2 linked regions of the Lonchura striata genome follow. The main gene of each other region encodes a partner of the protein of the gene in region 2 in a complex. Links are inferred from orthologs where the notes say so. Each region holds a gene or a part of one and is shown on either strand. Other genes may lie near its edges.

Region 1 (9,335 bases), on a different chromosome or scaffold from region 2:
TGAAGGGTTACAGGAAAACCGGGCATCGGAGGATGCGTAATGCTGGTTTGTGTCCTCTGTAGGTATTTATTATACAACCTCACCAGATATCAAAAACAACAGAACCTTATAAAAAGCAAAAACCTTCCCCATTTGAAAAAAATACAGACGGGAGGCCAGTAATTATTTCATCTACCTTTGTCTTTTACTTAAAAAGGCCTAGAGAATATTCACAGTGTTGCACACTTGAGTCACACAACAACTTCTCATTTAAGCATAAGGGCATTATTAGACAACAACACTATTTTTAGCTTATAATGCTAATTAGAAGGGTGCATTGATGCTGTACAGCATTGGCCCACTAAACTCTCCAGAAAAAGGAAGAACTCAATGAAAAGAACTGTAGAACTAAAACCATATGCCAATATTTACATCTATTTAATACAGATCAGCTCACTTCTACAGAGAGCTCAACAAACTATCATACCTCAGTCTACCAACCCAGCAATGTTGCTTTGTTTAGTTAAATCTATTTTTTAAATAAAATGGTTATTTGATTTCGTAAAGTACTAACCTAACGTTGAAAAACTAGCATGTGTATTTTTCTTAATTTCATTACTCTCCTCAAACTTTTCATAGGTTTTTCATCTTTCTACAATAGACCTACAAGCAAAAAAATCTGAAACCCACAACAAAATCAAAACCCCCAAAACAGGGCAGAGCAGCAGTACCCCCCTGTCCCAACTTTGGTGTCTGCATCACCAAAAAATTGTAAAAGCCTTCTAGTTTCTCATGTTTCAAATCCTCTTTCAGCAAGAGGAACAAGTTTTATTTTCTGCTGCCTGGATTTGCCTGCAGCCTGTCGCAGTGTTTACATTATTGGATTAGAAGCTATGAAAAAGCTCTGGTGACACATTTTTATTAAATGGCTGCTTGCTTCCCTGAGTGGAGGGTCTGGAGGAACCATGTGCTTTAGCGAAATGCATTTGCTCTGAGCATATTCCTTTAAGGCTTATACTTGTAACGGAAGAATTACACTGCATTCTAACTATCAGAAACCAGGAGCACCACCTCTGTATACGTTTTTTAGCCAGGCACAGTTGTGTTTTCTGAATTTGTCTTTTAGAGCTCTGAATACAGTCACTAGACACACTCTAAACTGGCTCACAGATTAGTATTCTTTAAAAATAAACATATGCTTATAACTTTATCTGAGGCAATAAGTCCCTAATAGTGCAAGGAGACATAAAATTTTAGGCTCTCACCACTCCATTTCATAGTTCAAAAAAACTTTAAAATTATATTTAAATCACTGTTTATTAAAGACCATATGCTTTCAGATAAAGATAGATTAAATATTTACGTAGGAGGAGACTTGAAGGTAAAATAGCAGTCTGCTTCAAAATGGGAAAATAATCATCTAAGCACAAAAGGTACTACAAAAAAGTGCACACTGGACATGTCACTTCTCCAGATAAACCTCGAAACAGGCTCATCTTAGATCTCCAACAAATGGTCTGACACACTCCCAGCACAGCACCACACAGACCTAAGAGACAGAGGCAATAGTTCCACCTCATTAAAACTGTTAACTATTAACTGTGGAATGCAAATCCTGAGATCTCGATGACTGCAAGCGTGACAGGGTGCTCAAAAATGTGTCACAGACCTCAACACTTCCTTAAAATCCTTCATAAATCACTTATCCCTTCTAACCGAACAGGCACACACATTCTAGAGTCCAAAACCAACATGCACTGGGGATTTCTCTGCACACTCTTAGTTCAAGGAGGAGATAACACGAGGCTGCTGGGGGTGGCCAACTTACAGGATGGATTGCAGGGCTTTTTCCCAGATACACTCTGTAAAAGGAGGCACTTCACAGCTCTCAGTGGTGGTAACTTGCAAAACAGAATGGATAGGTTAATTATTACCAACCAACCCATTGCAGGTCTGAAGACAAGCTACCTTTTGATGTCTGAGAACACCTGAAAACCACTCTCTAGTGTTCACACATATGGGCACCACCACACCCACAGTTTGCTGCAGCTAATCCCCATTGCAGAGGCCAGGCCTGCTTCTACACAAAACATACCAGAAGAGCCCAAGCTGGGCTTTAGAGGCAAAGGAACACACAAGCAGGGGCACAGGGGTCTCCCCTCCAGAGAGGTGACCACAGGATGGCCACCACCTCAGTTCTGACTACCACAGCTGCAGTCCCTTGGCTCGCTGGCTATGTCCAGCTCCACCACAGTGTTTAATTATTATGCTTAGCCTGAGCAGAAAGCTGAGCTAAGGACTGTGGAAGCATGGAAATGGCATTTTCCACCTTACCACCCCAGCAACCACCGCAGGCAGAACAAAATCTCCAATATAAACATGGGCACTAAGCACCAAGCTCACAGTGAAACACTCATGGACTGCTGTGTGCCCCCTCTCCCTCACTGGTGTTGCACATGGGTGTTGCCATGATGATTTTTGTCTTTTCTTTTTATATACCTTTTATGAGGTCTCAGTATCCTTAATATAACTGTAATTCCTTAAGCCTAATACCTTAACATAATCCTGGTATTCTATTAAGCCAAAAGACCAAACTTCTAAAAGCCTCACAGTCAGAAGCCAGAAAACCTAACATTATCTTGAGAAACCCCTCCAAAACACTTGTTACGCCCATCTAAGAAAAAATACATTAAAATAATCACACTATTTATTTAAACCTCTCATTGAAATGTCTTTGTTAAATATACTAGTTTACAAAACCTATAAAACTGTATACACCATCTACCATATGTATGCATTTTGGTACATGCAAATTTTACAGTTTGCATTTTGGTACAGCCCAATGTGACAAATTGTTACACCATAAAAATCCTAATTAAATACCAAAATAAAAACCTTTTTATCCCTTACCCATGTCTAACAATTCTAAGACCAAGGAAAAAGCATCAAGGGTACTGAAGGAATTCATTACCAGCTTTTTCCTTCTCAGCCCCCTCCCTAACACCCATGAACCCACACACAGGCCTGAAGCCCTAATGACAAAAAGTTTTAGGGAACAGCTGACCACAGAGCCCATCAGCAATCAACCTGATGAAGTTCAGCACAACTGCACAAACAGTGTGTGAAAAATTTAAATAAAAACAAGAATGATTCTTGCTGAGCAGAACAACTTACTGTGTAAACCAAAAGCTGAGGTGGCTGCTGCCACAGCAGGTTTAGGAGCTGAACCATGGGGTGAACCAAAAGCTGTTGAAGTTTTCAGATATATAAGGACAAGCTTACAGGATAGAGCACAACAAGCTGTCTTGTCTGAGGAATGCTATTCTGTGAGTGAAACATGGACTCTTCAGAAGGGCAGAACTCCACCAGCAGCGTGATGACATTACACCCGCACAGCTCCATCCCACATCGCCTTCAGCTTCTGAGGATTTCTGTTCATTCATCCACCCTGCTCCTCTGAGCTGGGAGCAGCACTGCTCACAGCACCCAGAGAATCGCGGACTGCCTCAATTACTGCAGCGCTGGAAGGCTCCTCTGGAGCTGCTCCCCTGGGCAGGGGCTCGGGGACGTGTCCAGCTGGGCTGGGATGTCCCACACAGGGACCCCGCAGCCCTCCCTGGCACTGTCCCAGGGAGCCTGGGAGGGGTGGGACGGACGGACGGGATCCCCCCTCGGCTCCCTGCTCCAGCCCGCCCGGGCCGAGCCCGGCACAGAGATGCTGCAGAGCCCGAATCCTCCCTGTGCCTCCCTGGGCCCCTCCAGCAGATTGTTCTCTTTCTCCTGCTGTGAGCCAGCCTGGAGGCGGCACTGGGAGGCAGAGCGGCCCTGACTCGCAGCAGGCAGGGGCTGTCATGCGGGCACAGAAAGCTCTGCAGAAGGGACCGCGGCAGGCAGGGGAGCGCTGCTCGCTCCGCACCCCATTCCCCGCGGTCTGCGTTATTCACCAGCCCGGCTTCGCCTCTCGCCACCCGGCACCGGCAGCACCGGCGCTGGCGGCCGGCTGGACCCTCTGCCGCACTGCCCACAGGCTGCCAGTGACCGGTTCTGCTCGGATTTAAACACAGACTCAAAGTGCTTTACACTCTCTAAGTGTGCGGTGCACCACTGTCCGCTCTATGTGCCATATATGTATTCTGCACAACCTGCCAAATAACCTCGTCTACTTTACTTTATACACCACATACACTCTCCACATACCCCACACAGCGCTCTCTGTACATATCCCATGCTCGATACGCCGTATATAGAAACAAGCGGAACCGCAGCAAGCAACACCACCACCAACACGCAGAAACCTCCGGGGGCGAACCACCCACCCAGGTGCCCTCAGGCAGAGGTCAGACTCGCACAGCCGCGTCGCCCCGACCTCACCCGGCGGGCTCGGGGCCGTCTCGGGGCCGAATCCCCTCAGGGCCCGCCCCGCTCCCAGTCCCGCTCCCAGTCCCGGCCCCGCCGGCGGCTCCGGGCGGCGGCCTCGGCCCTCGTCTGCGCGCAACGCGCCTGCGCGGCCGCGCCCGCCCCACCCCGCGCCTGCGCGGCCCCGCCCGCGCCTGCGCGCCCCGCCACGGCCCCAAGGAAGGGGCGGGGCCAAACGCCAGACGGACAGCGTGAGGGGGCGTGGTATTGCTACATGGGCGTGGTCGCGTCCGTGATTGACAGTGCATGAGGGCGGATCGCCGACTGGCCTGACCCCCACCGGGGCGGGGCCTGGGGGAAAGGGGCGGGGCCTCTCGTGTAGGTCACGCCCCCCACCTTGTCCCGTAACCCCCGCCAGGGGGCGCCGCTCCCGCCTGGGTCTCGTGGCGTCAGACCCTCCGCGCCGCGGTGACGTCACTGCCGCGCCATCAGCCCTGCTCCCTGCCCGTTCCAGTGACGTCACAACTCCTACCGTGACGTCACACCCTCCACAGTGACATCACTGAAGCGCCATCAGCCCCACCCAGGCCCTGCTCCCTGCCTGTTCTGGTGACATCACACTCCCCACAGTGATGTCACACCCTCCACAGTGATGTCACATCGCCTACAGAGATGTCACACACCCACAGTGATGTCACACCCTCCACAGTGATGTCACATCGCCTACAGAGATGTCACACCCCCACAGTGATGTCACACCCTCCACAGTGATGTCACATCCCCTACAGTGATGTCACACCCCCACAGTGATGTCACACTCCCCACAGTGATGTCACACCCTCCACAGTGATGTCACACCCCCACAGTGATGTCACACCCTCCACAGTGATGTCACACCCCCAACAGTGATGTCACACCCCCACAGTGATGTCACACTCCCCACAGTGATGTCACACCCTCCACAGTGATGTCACATCCCCTACAGTGATGTCACACCCCCACAGTGATGTCACACCCCCTACAGAGATGTCACACACCCACAGTGATATCACACTCCCCACAGTGATGTCACACCCCCAACAGTGATGTCACACCCTCCACAGTGATGTCACTGCAGTGCCACCAGCCCCACCCAGGCCCTGCTCATTCCGGTGACATCACACCCTCCACAGCAAGACGTCACTGGCACCAGCCCTGCCTGTGCAGACCTGTCTGTCCTTGTTCTGGTGACATCACGCCCCTGCAGTGACATCAGACCCCTGCAGTGACATCATACCATTGCAGTGATGTCACCCCATGCAGTGACGTCACCGCCACTCCCTCAGGGACTGCCAGCGCAGCCCACACATGCTCCCAGTGGTGCCGCTGAAACAGCCACTCCCGCCCCTGTGCCCACGCTGCGCCATCATCCCCGCAGTGACACCACCACAGCACACACAGCTCCCGGTGTTTCCAGAACATTCTTTTCCACATGGCCGTGGCACCGTCCCTCAGCCGAGAGCCAGGACCATGGCCTCGGTGGCCTCGCAGCCACTCCTGGTGTTTCCAGAACGTTCTTTTCCACATGGCCGTGGCACCGTCCCTCAGCCGAGAGCCAGGACCATGGCCTCGGCGGCCCTGCGGCCGCTCCCGGTGTTTCCAGAACGTTCTTTTCCACATGGCCGTGGCACCGTCCCTCAGCCGAGAGCCAGGACCATGGCCTCGGCAGTCCCGCGGCTGCTCCCGGTATTTCCAGAACGTTCTTTTCCACATGGCCGTGGTGCCGTCCCTCAGCCGAGTGCGGAGAGCCGGGACCATGGCCTCGGCGGCCCCACAGCCACTCCCGGTGTTTCCAGAACGTTCTGTTCCACATGGCCATGGCGCCGTCCCTCAGCCGAGCGTGGAGGGCGTTTCCAGAACGTTCTTTTCCCCATGGCCGTGGCGCCGTCCCTCAGCCGAGCGCAGAGGGCCAGGACCGTGGCCTCGGCGGCCCCATGGCCACTCCTGGTGTTTCCAGAACATTCTTTTCCACGTGGCCATGGTGCCGTCCCTCAGCCGAGCGCAGAGGGCGTTTCCAGAACATTCTTTTCCACGTGGCCGTGGCGCCGTTCCTCAGCTGAGCGCGGAGGGCCAGGACCGTGGCCTCGGCGGCCCCATGGCCACTCCTGGTATTTCCAGAACATTCTTTTCCACGTGGCCGTGGCGCCGTTCCTCAGCGGAGCGCAGAGGGCCAGGACCGTGGCCTCGGCGGCCCCGCGGCCGCTCCCGCCCGAGCCGGGCGGGCAGGGCTGGGGGTCGCGAGCCAACGCCAGCCTGGCCCGGCCTGGCCGGGCTCCGCCGCCCGCGCCAGCATGTAGCTGACCTTGCGCTGGTGCGCCAGGGCCTCCTCCTTGTCGTTCACCTGCCAGCGGAGAGCAGAGCGCTCAGCGCCAGCGCGCCGCGGCCGCGCCGCGCCGCAGGGAGAGCCGTGCACTGACCAGGTCTATCAGCACCCGCAGCAGCTCCTGGGCGTCGTCCAGCTCCCGCACCCTCCTGCCGTCCCCGGCTGACCGCAGCAGGCCGGACAGCCGCCGGCCCAGGCTGGGCTCGCCGCCCTCTGCGGAAAACACAACCGCGTCAGCACAGCTGCTCCGGGAGGGGAAACCGCTTCAGGATAGAGCAGCACTGCTCAACTGGAGCTGAGCAGTCACAGAGAAAAGGGCAACACCAGACGCAGCTCGGCACGTCTCCCTGCTCCCGCTGCGCAGACCTCGCACGGGGGCAAATTGAGAATTTGCTCCGTGAAAAACACACTTTTCACGCTCTAGGTAAACAATCATTCACGGTAGTTCGTTTTTAAACACTAAGTAGCCTTAAAAACCCAAAGATTCTCTGACACTGGCAACCTACAAGTGTGTAAGATTTCCAGGAATGGTAAAATTCACAGCAGGTTGTTTTTAAACACTAAGTAGCCTTAAAAACCCAAAGATTCTCTGACACTGGCAACCTACAAGTGTGTAAGATTTCCAGGAATGGTAAAATTAATTTGTTTTTAAACACTAAGTAGCTGAAAAAAAACCCCAAAGATTCTCTGACACTGGCCACATAGAAGTCTGTAAGATTTCCAGGAATGGTAAAATACATTAAAATTACGGAACAGATGTGCCAGGTAATGGAGCCTGAAAGCAATGGGGCCAGTACAGGGGAAACAGACACTCAAGGTTGTGCTGTTGTAGAGCTACACCCCAGGAGTGCCCCAGGAATTTGGGAGACACATATCACACTTCTAAGCTCCTGCCAATGGTCAAAACAAATATATTGTGCCATTCCTAAAGCCTGCAGTGGTTCTGACCATGATGTAAGCACTCAAATACCTCTCATTATCCCTCTATTTTTTTTTTTAATAATAGAAGATTGTTAGAATTACTCCTACTTTACAGATTGGAAATCTTCCTCTTTTTACACAGGGCTTTGTAACTCTGCATTAGTGTAAGAACACTAATAAACAGAAATATCAATACACATGCATAATAAAAAGATAAAGGGGTTTAAGAAAAAAAAAACCACAACTGTTTAGTACTCCAGTGAATTATGGAGTGGCCTGGCTTGGAAGAGACCTTGAAGCTCATCTTGCTCCATACCTTCCACCAGACCAGGCTGCTCAAGCCCCACTTGGAGCTAAAAAAACCTCAAGCTATAAATTTTTTTTGCATTTCTTCGCCTTCCCCACCTCTTCTGCAGAACTAATTTGACAAAAAACAAAACCCAAAAGACAGAGCAGTTGCTGGCAGCCCTTAAACCAGCCCGGGCAGCAGCTGAGCCCCCAGCACGTGTCCAGACCAGCCAGCCCCAGGCACTGCCCAGCTACCAGCGCCCTGCCGCCGCCAGCTGCCAGATCTGGTTCCCTTCTTCACGCCGAGCGCCTCTGCCAGCCGCAGGGCCTGCTCCTGCCTCTGCCCCAGCTGCTGCTCAAACGCCGTCCGGAAGGCGTCCGCCACCAGATATGCCTCTTCCCTGCTCTTCTTCACATCCTCCACCTGGGGTTCAGTCAGGGGAAATTTAAAGCGCGTTAGCTGCTTTGGAAGCAAAACAGATTTGAAAGGAATATTAAGACGCAGACAGCTTGCAAGTAAATATAATCAAGGAAGCAGCAGGAACCAAAGGGTTTTCCTGGCATGTAAAGAAATGCATTTTGAAATGTGTATTGAAGTCCTTGCTCTTCATTGTCTGCACATGTTCACACCCCCAGCCACCTACACAATAATCTCTGAGTTTATTTATCTTTGCATATGTACAAGAGCTCAAGGAGAAAAATAATGTCTCCTCCAGCCAGGCCTGGAGAAAAAGGAGCAAGAGATTGCAATCCATATCAGGGATCATAAGGGACAGGCCAGCACCTATTTTCAAAACCGGCTGGTCAGCTGGAAGTTCTGCAGCAGGACCACAAGGATGGCTACCACATTTGCAGAGTCAAATACAGATTAGAAGAGAAATCCTAAATCTGCACAATTTCACTTAATAGAAAAAAAATAGGAGCCTGGAATTCACGTCACTGATTTAAGTGAGAGATAAATAGGTATTTCTAGCAAGATCAGCCTGCTGCCCTAGCTGAGTGAGCGGGCTGTGGGTGCTGATGCCAACGAGGGAGGGGTGGAAGGCACTGCCAGGAAGGAAGGGAAGGTTCAGTGCCAGTCCACGTGCACAGTGTGCACATTCATGGGGGACACACCCTTAGGGCATGTTCTCTTTTTTCATATAAAAAATACGGGGAGAAGGGAAAAGAATGCAATTTTCTTTTTTTTAACTAGTAAAGCTGAGTAGATATAATCACTTTTTTTTTTCTACCAGCAAAAATGATGGCATTACAAGCATCACAAACTTCACAGTATTTCTGAGATCCACTGTGGTTGTGAGAGTTTGTGAGAGCAGTGCCTGGGTGTTTTGGGCTTGGTTTGGACTGGTGCAGGAGCACCCCCTCCTTGTCCCCACCCTGCCAGCCTTGTCACCTGCTGCTTGAGATGAAGGAGTTGCTTCCGAGTGAG
Region 2 (10,034 bases):
CGGGATGACACGGCCCCACTTACCCTTTCCCCAAACTTCTGCTGCTCCTCGGCCTGTTTCCCCATGTGCAGCTGGAAGAAAACTGGGATCAGAGCTCTGTAACTCCAGGGAGAGCTTTGAGAGAGGGGCAGGAAAACCCCAGGGAGCAGCCAGGAGCATCCCGGGGTGGGATGGGAGCACAGGCAGAGCCCCCCAGCCCCAGCTCCCCCTCACTCACGTGGGCCACGGCAGCAAAATAATAGATTTTCATTTGAACCAGTTTCTTCCAGTCCTTCTGGATCTTGCCCAGCAGCGAGGCCGTCTCCGAGTTCTCCAGGGCCCGGCAGGCCTCCTTGTAGTAATCCACCACCTGGGGGGAGGGCACGGGAGAAGCCTGGGCACCCTGGGCAGCACCAGCCCAAGGACTCGGATCACCCGGAGCAATGGTGGGGGGAGCTCAGGGATGTGCTTGGGACCTCAGCCAGGGACTGTCACCAGCCCAGGCTGCCCCAAGCCCCGTCCAGCCTGGCCTTGGGCACTGCCAGGGACCCAGGGGCAGCCCATCCCAATCCATTCCAGTGCCTCACCCACCTCACAGGCAAGAATTCCTTCCCAACACTCGCCCACATCTCCCATTCCCTGGGTGCTGTCGCTCCAGGCCTTGCCCAGAGTCCCTCTCCAGCTCCTGATCCCAGTGGGAGCAGGGCCGTGCTGGGAGCAGCTCCTGGAGCTCACCTGGGCACTGATCCTGGCCACGAGGAAGCTTTTCCTGTTGTCCAGCATGGACTTCTCCAGGAGACACTCCTGTGCCTGGCCCTGCCAGGGACAAGAGAGCAATGCTCAGTGTCCCCAGCCCTTGGGACAGCCCAGACCCCTGGCAGGACCCACTGGCTCCAGCCCCTTTCCCAGGGGATGGATGTGGCACAGGGAATACCAGCCCTGAGGGTGCCTGGAGAGCCCAGGAATGGCACTGAGCCTTCCCTGACCCCCCAGTGCCTCCCAAAACCTCCTTCCCCACACCCCAGGGGAGAGCCCAGACCCCCAGAGAACCCCTGGGGGACAGCGGGGTCCTGTGCCCGTGGATCCTCGGGGAGCACCAAGGCCACGGAGACCTGGAGGGGTGCCAGTGGCAGCAGTGCCCAGCCCGTACCAGCATGAGGTTGATGTTGAGGCTGAGGATCTGGTGGCTCATGTCCACGCTGTAGGAGTGTGGGAAGTGATCCCGCAGGTAGGTGAAGGCACCAGCAGCACACTGGAAGTGGGTGCAGGAAACCTTCATGCCCTGAGGGGATGGAATTGTTGGGTTTGGAGATGATTTCCCAAACCATGGAGTCCACCCAGCCCCCAGCACTGCCAAGGCCATCCCTGACCGTGTCCCCAAGTGTCACATGCACAGGGCTTTGAAATCCCTCCAGCCATGGGGACTCCAGCCCTGCCCTCGCAGCTGGGCCAGGGTAGGAGAGCCTTTTCCAAGAGGAACATTCCCAATATCCCACCTGAACCTGCCCTTGAGGCTGTTTCCCTCTTGTCCTGTCACCCGGGAGCAGAGCCCCACCCTCTGGCTGTCCCCTCCTGTCCCCAGGGTCCCTCCTGGTGCTCCAGACACCCCAAAGCCCAGAGATCCCAGGTTCTGCTGGTGCCCAGCCCCTCCCAGCCCTGCCCAGCCCAGCCCTGTCACTCCCAGCTGGCACTGCCCGGTGCCGCGGGCGTTACCTCCTCGGACACGCGCTTGTCCATGGCTCCCAGCATGGAGTGCAGAGCTCCTGTGGGGACGGGGGGCTCAGCGGGGCAGGGACACCCCTGGGAGCGGGGGCCCGGGCCAGGCAGCCCCCGAGCTGCGGGAATTTGGGGGGCTCACCCAGGTTGTAGAGGACACAGGCCTGCTCGTACTTGATGTCCTCGTGCGTCACCGCCTTGCCCGAGAAGATCTCAGTCCTGGGGGCAGGGGCACAGCACAGGGAGCAAGCAGGGCTTCTCCCGAGAGCAGGAGTTACTGGGATCCCCCTTCCCCAGGGGTTCCTGAGATCCCCATCCCCAGGACCCCGTTCCCCAAAGGTCCCTGGGATCCTCCAGTGCCACCCCAGGCACGACCCCGTTCCCCAGGACAGCACAGGGCCACCCCTGTGCCACCCCAGGCAGGACACTGTCATCCCCCAAAGGACTCCTGGGATCCCCCAGTGCCACCCTGGCCAGGACCACATTCCCAGGGGGTTCCTTGAGCAGCTTCTCCCCAAGGGGTGGGCATGGCCACATCCTGCCTGGCTCAGCCCCCCATCCCAGCCCCCCATGTCCCAACTCCCCCACCCCAATTCCCCCACCCGACCCCCTCACCAGGTGACGGGCACGGCCGCGTCCTGGCCCTGGCCCATGGGGATGCGGCTCTGCAGGAAGTGCAGCTGCCCCAGGTACTTGCGCAGGGTGCTGCAGCCCTCGAAGTCCCTGGGAACGCTGACGGCGCTCTGGGAAGGGACCGGGGGGAGGAGGAGGAGGAGGGAGAGGAGGAAGAGGCTCAGGGCACTGCCTGCTCCAGGCAGGACCAGCAGCTGTCCCGCAGGGGAGGCCGGAGCCAGCCGCACGCTCGGGATGGGGCAGGGCTCTGGGAAAGCCTCGGGAACAGCCGAGTTCTCCCAAAAACGAGCTCCCTCATGGATGGGGGCAGCGGGGCAGCAAAATGAGGCTCTGCACCCCCAGCACAGCTCCCCGGGCCGGGACAGCCACGGGATTTGGGTGTCCTGGGACACGGTGAGAGGAGAAACCCCAGAGCCGGGCTGGGGGTGGCTGGGCCCCCCGGGTTTGGGGAGCCTGTGGCCGGCAGCAGGAGCTGTCCCTGCCCCCCCAGCAGCTCCCGGGTCTCTGGGACCACCCAAGGGCTGCTCCGGGGATGATGCAAGGACGGGGAGAGAGAGGAGCGGCCCCGGGGGAGAGGAGCGGCCCCAGCCCCGGGGAAGAGGAGCGGCCCCGGGCCCGGGGAAGAGGAGCAGCCCCGGCCCAGAGCGTCCCTCACCTGCCGGAGCAGCTCCAGCTTCCGCAGCTCCTCGTTGTAGCTCTCCGGGTTCTCCCCGTAGTTCTTCAGCACGAACTGGGGGCGGCAGAGGCTGAGCGGCCGGGACCGGCTCCCGGAGCGGCGGGACACCGGGGCACCGGGCAGGAGGGGCGGAATGGCACCCACGGGCACCCCGGGAGTGGGAGCGGGGAGTGGGAACCGGGAAAGGGGAACGGGAGCGGGGAGTGGGAACCGGGAACGGGAGCAGGGAACAGGCACCGCGGAAGGGGATAGGAGGGAATGGGCACCGGGGAACAGGCACCGGGAAGGGGAGCAGGGAACGGCACCGGTGAACGGCAGCGCGGAGTGGGAATGGGAGCGGGGAGTGGGAACCGGGAAAGGGAGTGGGGAACGGGATACGAGGGGATGGGCACCGGGGAATGGGCATCAGGGAACGAGCACCGGGAATGGGAGCGGGGAACGGGCACCGGGAATGGGATAGAAGGGGATGGAAGTGGAGAATGTGAGCGGGGAATGGCTCCGGGCATGGGCTCGGGGAACGGGAGTGGGGAATGGCTCCGGGCATGGGCTCGGGGAACGGGAGCGGGGAATGGGATCGGGAACGGGGAACGGGATCAGAAATGGCATCGGGGAACGGGAGCGGGGAATGGGCACAAGGAATCAGGGATGGGATCGGGGAATGGCATCGGGGATTGGGTCGGGAACGGGCTCGGGAACGGCCGAGGGTGGAAAAGGCACTTACGGGCACCGGGAAGGTGCCCGGCCCAGGTGCGGCACGCCGGGGACACTCCCGGGGCCGCCCGGGCGCCCCGCAAAACCGCGGGGGGAGCGGCACGCGCGCCAGGAGCCCCGCAGCGCCCCGCACCCGCAAACTGTGCGGGCCCGGAGCCTGCTACAGCCCTTAATGAAGTGACTAATTAACCAGGCCCCGCGGGGGCGGCAGGGACACGGCGCCAGCCCCCGGCGGCTCGGGGCGGGGGGGTCCGCCATCCAAAGCTCCGGCGCCGGTGGCTGCAGGGACCCCCGGGCACCGCCTGCCCCGCTCCCCGTGCCCCGGGCCCGCTTCCGACCCCTCCCAGCCCCCAGCGCCCGCCCCGCCGGGCCTTGCCCGGCCGCACCTTCTTGACGGCGGCGTTGAAGGCGAACTCGCCGGCCTCCTTGAGGTCGAGCCAGATCATGGGCATGCGGGGCACGGCCTCCATCCCGGCGCGGCGCGGCGCGGCCCGGCCCGCTCCCGGTGCGCTCCCGGCCCGGCCCGGCCCGCCGGAACCGCGCGCGGGGGCTCACGGGACACCGAGTCCGCGGGGCTCCGAGCGCGGCCGCACTTCCGGCCCCGTTCCCATGGCAACGCCCCGCCCCCACAAAGGGGAGCGCATGGCCACGCCCACCGGGGCGGGACGAGCGCTGTTGCCATGGCGACGCCTCGGTCGCTGATTGGACGGCACGGCCGTTGTCACGGACAGGCCCCGCCCCGGAAGCGGCGCGGTTGTCACGGCAACCGCCACGCCCAGCCTCCCCCCGCTAATTAATCACCCCGTTAATTAGCCTTCTCCACACCTCCCCGCCCCGCCAGCGTCCCGCAGTGCATTCAGGGCTCCAGGACGCTTCGGTGGTGCCAGGGACACCTCGTTGTGCCCCTTGAACCTGCTGGTCTAACTATCTGCTCCGTTAATTGATTCGCTCATCTAATTGTTTGAGCCATTAGCGGAGCTCTTTGATGGATTCTGGTAGAGGAGCAGCTCCTCAGCAGCTTCAGGATCCCAGCAGGAGCAGAGCTGAGCCCCCGGCGTGTCCCTGTCCCGGCTCTGCTGCCACCCAGCCAGGGACCGGGCACTGGACACGGGACGTGAGCTCAGGGACAAGGGACATCAGGATTTGGGGACCCTGGGCACTGGGGACACTGGGGTTGGGGGAAATGGGGCCATCTGAGCCTGGCACAAGGGGATAGCCAGCCCAGGTGACCCTGGGGACACGGGGGGCTCCTGCTCCCCTGGGGAATCTCTGCTCCAGCACCTGGAGCAGCTTCCTCCCCCGAATCCCCATTTCCATCCCTTTGGACCAGAAACAGGAAATAAAGAAGCTGTGGAACCAAAGCACGTTAAACCCACAGGTTCAATTATGGGTTTAATTATGGGTCAATTAAATGGGTTTAATTCCTCGATTGTGGCGCCGCCGAATCCTCCTTGTTCTGCCAAGGGGAATCTGCCACACCAGCCTGGCCTCTCCTTCCACGCCTCTGGACAGGTCCCTGTGGGATAAAGCAACACAGCTAGCAGTGACAGGGGCACACAGCTGGCAGTGACACCAGGCAGTGACACTGGCACACACCAGGCAGTGACAGCAGCACACAGCTCGTGTTGCCAGCGCTCATTAACCACCACAGAGTTAATTACACTGACAAGAGCCTTGTGCCCACCTTCTCCTTCCTGCAGCCTTCCCGGAGCCCTCTGGATGCCCACGGAGGGAGCCTGCAATGGGAAAGGCAGGAATGAGGAATGGCCCTGGCCCTGCTGCCCCTGTCCCCAAATCCCAGTGGGCTTGGGGTCCCGTGTCCGAGGTTTTTATAACCGCCCCCGGGAGACACCGGGAGCGGCCTCAAACGGCCCCGGGACGCTCTGGCAGCGCTGCAGGAATGGCAGGGGCCACGGCAGGCCCCGCTATGCTGGAGCCCGCGGCGGCAGGAGCCAGGGGAACCGGGCACGGCAGAGCCCGGGCTGTGCCAGAGCCCCGGGTAGCTCCAGGAACGTGGCCCCCGACATTCCCACGGAGTCCCAGTCCCGCAGCCTCCCCCCGGGCAGAGCCGGGGCTGGCCCTCACCTGGGCAGTGCTGCCGACAGGCAACTCCTGCCACCGTGTCTCAGTCACGGCATTCCCATGGAACTTCACCCCTGGGAGACGAGGGTCGAGGCCTCGGTAGCCTTAATTAACCGAAACCGGGCTAATTACGGTGCCAGCCCCCTTGAATGCACTTCTTTCTTCCTGGCGGCTTCCTGAGTCCCTCTGGATCCGCGCAGCAGGAGCCTGGAACGGAGAACAGCAGCAATGTCACCGGCCCCGCCGTGCCGGGGCTTTCGGGACCCCGCAGCCCCCCGTGTCCCACCGAGCTCCTCCCCAGCCCGGCCGTGTCCGAGGTTTCTATAACCGCCCCCGGGAGGCGCCGGGAGCGGCCTCAAACGGCCCCGGGATGCTCTGGCAGCACTGCAGGAATGGCAGGGGCCACGACAGGCCCCGCCATGCTGGAGCCTGCGGCGGGAATCTGCTCCCGGGTCAGCCTCGGTTCCCCGGGACAGCCCGGCCCGGAACGCACCGCGGCGGGGCCCGATGCGCGGGGAGCTCGGGAGGCAGCGGTGGCGGCCGCGGATGGCGGCGGATGAGCGCAGACCGCCATACCCCTCACCGGCGGCGGCAGCGGCCATGACTGAAAGAGCGGGCGCCTCCCGATGACGTCATAGAGGAGCGGGTGGGCGGGTCCAGCGAGGGGCGTGGTCTAATGCAGCGTGTGATATGCGATGACATCATAATGGGCGTGGCTAGTAGGCGTGACCAATCAGTGGTGGGCGTGGTTTGCGCGCGCCGACGGCTTTGCGCAGGCGCACTGCGCTCGTCTCCCCCCGGCGGCGGGACGATGACGTCACGGGAAGGCGCCGCCCAAGATGGCGGCGGGGCAGAGCCGCGGGCGCTGAGGCGGCGCCGGGACCGGGAGGGGAAACCGGGACCGCGATCGGGATCTGGAGGCGGGGCTGGAGCGGGAACCGGGCGCGCCATGGCCGCCTCCGCCGCCGCGCGTTGAGGCCCCGCCCCTCAGCCGGGCCGGGATGCCCCGGGGGGGCCCCGGGCCGCCGCCGGAGCCATGGAGGAGGAGGGCAAGAAGGGCAAGAAGGTGAGAGCGGGGCCCGGGGGGCGGCCGGGTCCGCGCTGTGCCCCCCGAGGGTGGCTCAGCCCAGGCGGGTCCGCCCCCGGCCCCAGCCCGGAACTCCCCGGCGGTGCCCGATCCCCTCCCGGGGCTGTTCCAGAGCGCCTTCCCGGGAGCCACTGGCTGCCCCTTCCCGGGACCGTTCCCGCATCCCCTTCCCGGGACTGTTCCCGCATCCCTTTCCCGGGACCGTTCCCGCATCCCCTTCCCGGGACCGTTCCCGCATCCCCTTCCCGGGAGCCACCCAGAGCCCCCAGCCCAGAGCGTCCCGCTGTTCCCGAGGGCTTGGAGAAGGTTGTTATTAATCGATGGGAGTATTAATTACGGAGGGATTAATTTATGGGTTTGCTAATTTATTTACGTTATTACTGCTGCGGATTCAGTGAATTCGTTCCTGCGTTAATTGATGCCGTTGTTGTGGCTCGCGGCTCAGCACCTCCGGCCTGGTTTCCCTCCTCCCAGCTCCATTCTGTGGCCTCGGGGAGGCTCAGCCAGAGCTGCAGGCCGAGGCTGGGTGTGAGCCCGTCCTTTTGGGGAAAAACTGGAGATTTTGGGAGCCCCGGGGCAGCAGGTTCCAGAATGAGTGAGGCTGAGTGGGATTTTGTGGGGAATCGCCCTCCAGGCTTCCCGGACAGGCAGGTCTGGGAATTAAACCCCCGTGATGCCACTCTGGGAGGAATTTGGAGGAATTTCTCACCTGCACACGGGATGGAGCTGCTTTTGGGAAGGAGTCAGCTCCAGGGGGTTTGGGCAGAGCTCAGCTGGGGCTCCCCGCTGTGGTTCCTGGCACTGGGAAGAGTCTGGATCCTCCCTCCTCCCTGCCCCAGGGACACACTGGGCTGGTTCCTCACCCTCCATCCCACCTGGAAAATCCCATTTCTCTGGTCCCTGCAGCCTCCTCGGGCCCTGTCCCGGGGCTGTCCCATCCCGCTGGAGCAGGAGCTCCCGGTGCCTCTGGAGCAGAACTGAGCTGGCACCCACCTGTGGCCTCTCCTGAGCTGCTCCAAGGCCTCGTGGAGCTTCCTTGGAGTTTGGTGGTTAACCAACCCTTGGAGCTGCTGCCTGTGGAGCACAGACCTGTCCTTGTCTTCCTCAGGTGTTCCAGCTGCAGGGAGAGCTCTGCTCCCTGCTTCTCCCACTCTGGATGGTTCCAGCAGCACTCTGAGCTGAAGTGGAGGCACTGAGTTCCCTCAGGGCTGATCCAAAGGGATCAGGGCAGGGTTGGTTGGGATAAGGAGGAAAATCCCAGCCTGGCTTTGGGGTCGAGTCCAGCTTGGATAAAATCCAACCTGGTTTCAACTGGAGCCCTGGAATTCCTTCAGGAGCTGGCGTGCCCTGGCTCTCAGTGGGGGTTATCCCAGCGGGAAGGGAGCTGTCCTGGGATGGAATAGCATTCCCCACAAGTCCTGGGAGGCAGGATGGAATTCCAGCAGGCCATGGGAATCTGGCAGGGCTTGGTGTCACACCTGGAGCCTCAGGGGAGCATGGATGGATGGGTGCTCCCACCTGCTTATCCCCAGGAAGTGTGGGGGAAGGAGAATTTTCTGGGAGTGATCTCCCTGCTGCTCTGACTCCACAAGCCGTGCCAGGGATCCCAAGCTTGCAGGGTTTCCCTGAGGGAATTCCCTGAGGTTCAGCTCTTAGTGTGACATTCCCAGCTTTTCCAGCTCGGGGAGGCCCTGGAGAGCTGAGGCTGGTGCCACCTGCCTCTCCCAGCAGCTGCTCCAGCATTTCCCTCCTGAAACAAGGAGCTGCTGAGCTCGGAGTTACATCCCTGGGGGAAATTCTTCTTGAAATTCCTTTGTTATCCCACATTTCCAGCCCCATGTCCGGGCTGATCCCCAGCGTGGGCAGCAGGAAATGGGGATTGTGCCCCTCAGGTGAGACCCCACCTGCAGAGCTGCCCCAGATCCAGTAGCACAAGGGCCTGGAGCTGCTGCAGGGCTGGGACCCCTCTGCTCTGGGGGATGAAGTGGATTTTGGAGCGTCCAAGATGCAGGAGCAGTGTGGATCTGCTGGGAGATTGGGAATTGGGCTGGTGGAGGAGCTTCCCCTCCCCAGGAGCTCCCAGCCCGGCCTTGGGCACTGCCAGGGATGCAGGAGAATCATGGATCTGCTGGGAGATTGGGAATGGGGCTGGTGGAGGAGCTTCTCCTGCCCCAGGAGCTCCCAGCCCGGCCTTGGGCACTGCCAGGGATGCAGGGCAGCCCCAGCTGCTCTGGGCAGGAAGAAGCTGCACAGCCCACGCACTCAGGGGGCTGTGGGACCTTTGGGATTGGGAATTGCTCCGGGAGCAGCAGCTGGGATGCAGCTGGGAGTCGGAACAGAGCAGCTCAGAACAGAAACCAGGGCTCAGCCTCCCTCGGCACGGGGCCATTCCCCCCCGGTTGGGGCATTGCTGGGGATTTTGGGGTGCATCCCCCCCAGCTGTGGCACAGGATGGAGGGTTGGGGTGCTGTCAGGGATTTCGGGGTGCAGGGTGGGAGCAGGGAACGGGCTCGTGCCCCGCCGTGGGTCCCTGCCCCGCTCCGCCCGTCACGTGGGGCAGAGGAAACCGTGGCACTTCCTGGCCCCGACGGCAGCACCCCGAAAGGAGGGGAGCGTGCCCCGTCCCCTGGTGCCCCCCAGCTCTGCAGCCCCCCAGCACGGCTCCCTCCCCCTGTCCCGGGCTCCATGGAGGACGAGGTGGGTGCTGGGATTTGGGGCGCCCCAAAAGCAGGAGCTGTTTCGGGCTGCGTCACACCGGAGGCGCCTCCCCCCAGGCTTTGGGGTGCCCAGGAGAGCCAGGGGAGCCCAGAATCAGCCCAGCCCTCGGGGTGCAGCCACTTCCTGGGGGGAAAAGGGGGTTCCTCTGCCTTGGGGTGGCTCTGGATCCTGCCTGGCGGAGGGGGAAGGGTCTGGGTACAGCCTCGGTGGCACATTCCTGCATTGCTCTGCTGTGAATTCCTGAAAGATTCCTGTGGAGATGCATCCCTAAGCATTGGCAGGCAGGATTTCGGGTGCGACATCCCAAAGTTGGAGACTCCCCAAATCTCTGCTCTTGCTAAACTCACCTGCTGTGTCCAGGATTCCCTTCTCTCCGGCATCCCAGCCCCTCAGCAGGATGATGGAACACCCTGATCAAGGATCGTGGGGTTC

Evidence for each region. Proteins that work in one complex are often made in the same cells at the same time.
Region 1: the proteins of PTPN23 (region 2) and ZFYVE16 are in contact, whole or in part, in a crystal structure (PDB 5MK0), measured with the Homo sapiens proteins. The link is inferred for Lonchura striata from reciprocal best matches to the Homo sapiens genes PTPN23 and ZFYVE16. Residues at the interface, in NP_056281.1 of Homo sapiens: Phe62, His125, Glu137, Glu138, Lys141, Val142, Cys144, Thr145, His146, Gln148, Cys149, Leu189, Lys192, Ser193, Asp196, Arg198, Lys199, Phe201, Leu202, Arg205, Ile206, Ala336, Leu338, Leu342, Asp348, Ala350, Val351; in NP_001098721.2 of Homo sapiens: Asp2, Tyr4, Phe5, Ala8, Val9, Leu12, Asp13, Leu15, Leu16, Asp17, Phe19, Glu20, Gln21.

The regions. Positions count from the first base shown.
Region 1 is NC_134642.1:86,166,853-86,176,187, forward strand, and holds the start of ZFYVE16 (zinc finger FYVE domain-containing protein 16), read right to left. Parts: upstream 4,464-9,335; 5' UTR 4,351-4,463; exon of another isoform or gene 4,296-4,350; intron 3,230-4,295; exon of another isoform or gene 1,808-3,229; intron 1-1,807. Other genes in the region: CCDC125 (coiled-coil domain-containing protein 125), read right to left, coding at 6,266-6,525, 6,622-6,715, 6,792-6,910, 8,162-8,330, 9,300-9,335.
Region 2 is NC_134603.1:156,656,722-156,666,755, forward strand, and holds the start of PTPN23 (tyrosine-protein phosphatase non-receptor type 23), read right to left. Parts: upstream 4,238-10,034; 5' UTR 4,186-4,237; coding exon 4,102-4,185; intron 3,059-4,101; coding exon 2,984-3,058; intron 2,439-2,983; coding exon 2,311-2,438; intron 1,915-2,310; coding exon 1,838-1,914; intron 1,743-1,837; coding exon 1,693-1,742; intron 1,262-1,692; coding exon 1,130-1,261; intron 796-1,129; coding exon 715-795; intron 350-714; coding exon 218-349; intron 72-217; coding exon 24-71; intron 1-23. Other genes in the region: CCM2 (cerebral cavernous malformations 2 protein), read left to right, coding at 6,834-6,863. UniProt on the Homo sapiens protein: Plays a role in sorting of endocytic ubiquitinated cargos into multivesicular bodies (MVBs) via its interaction with the ESCRT-I complex (endosomal sorting complex required for transport I), and possibly also other ESCRT complexes.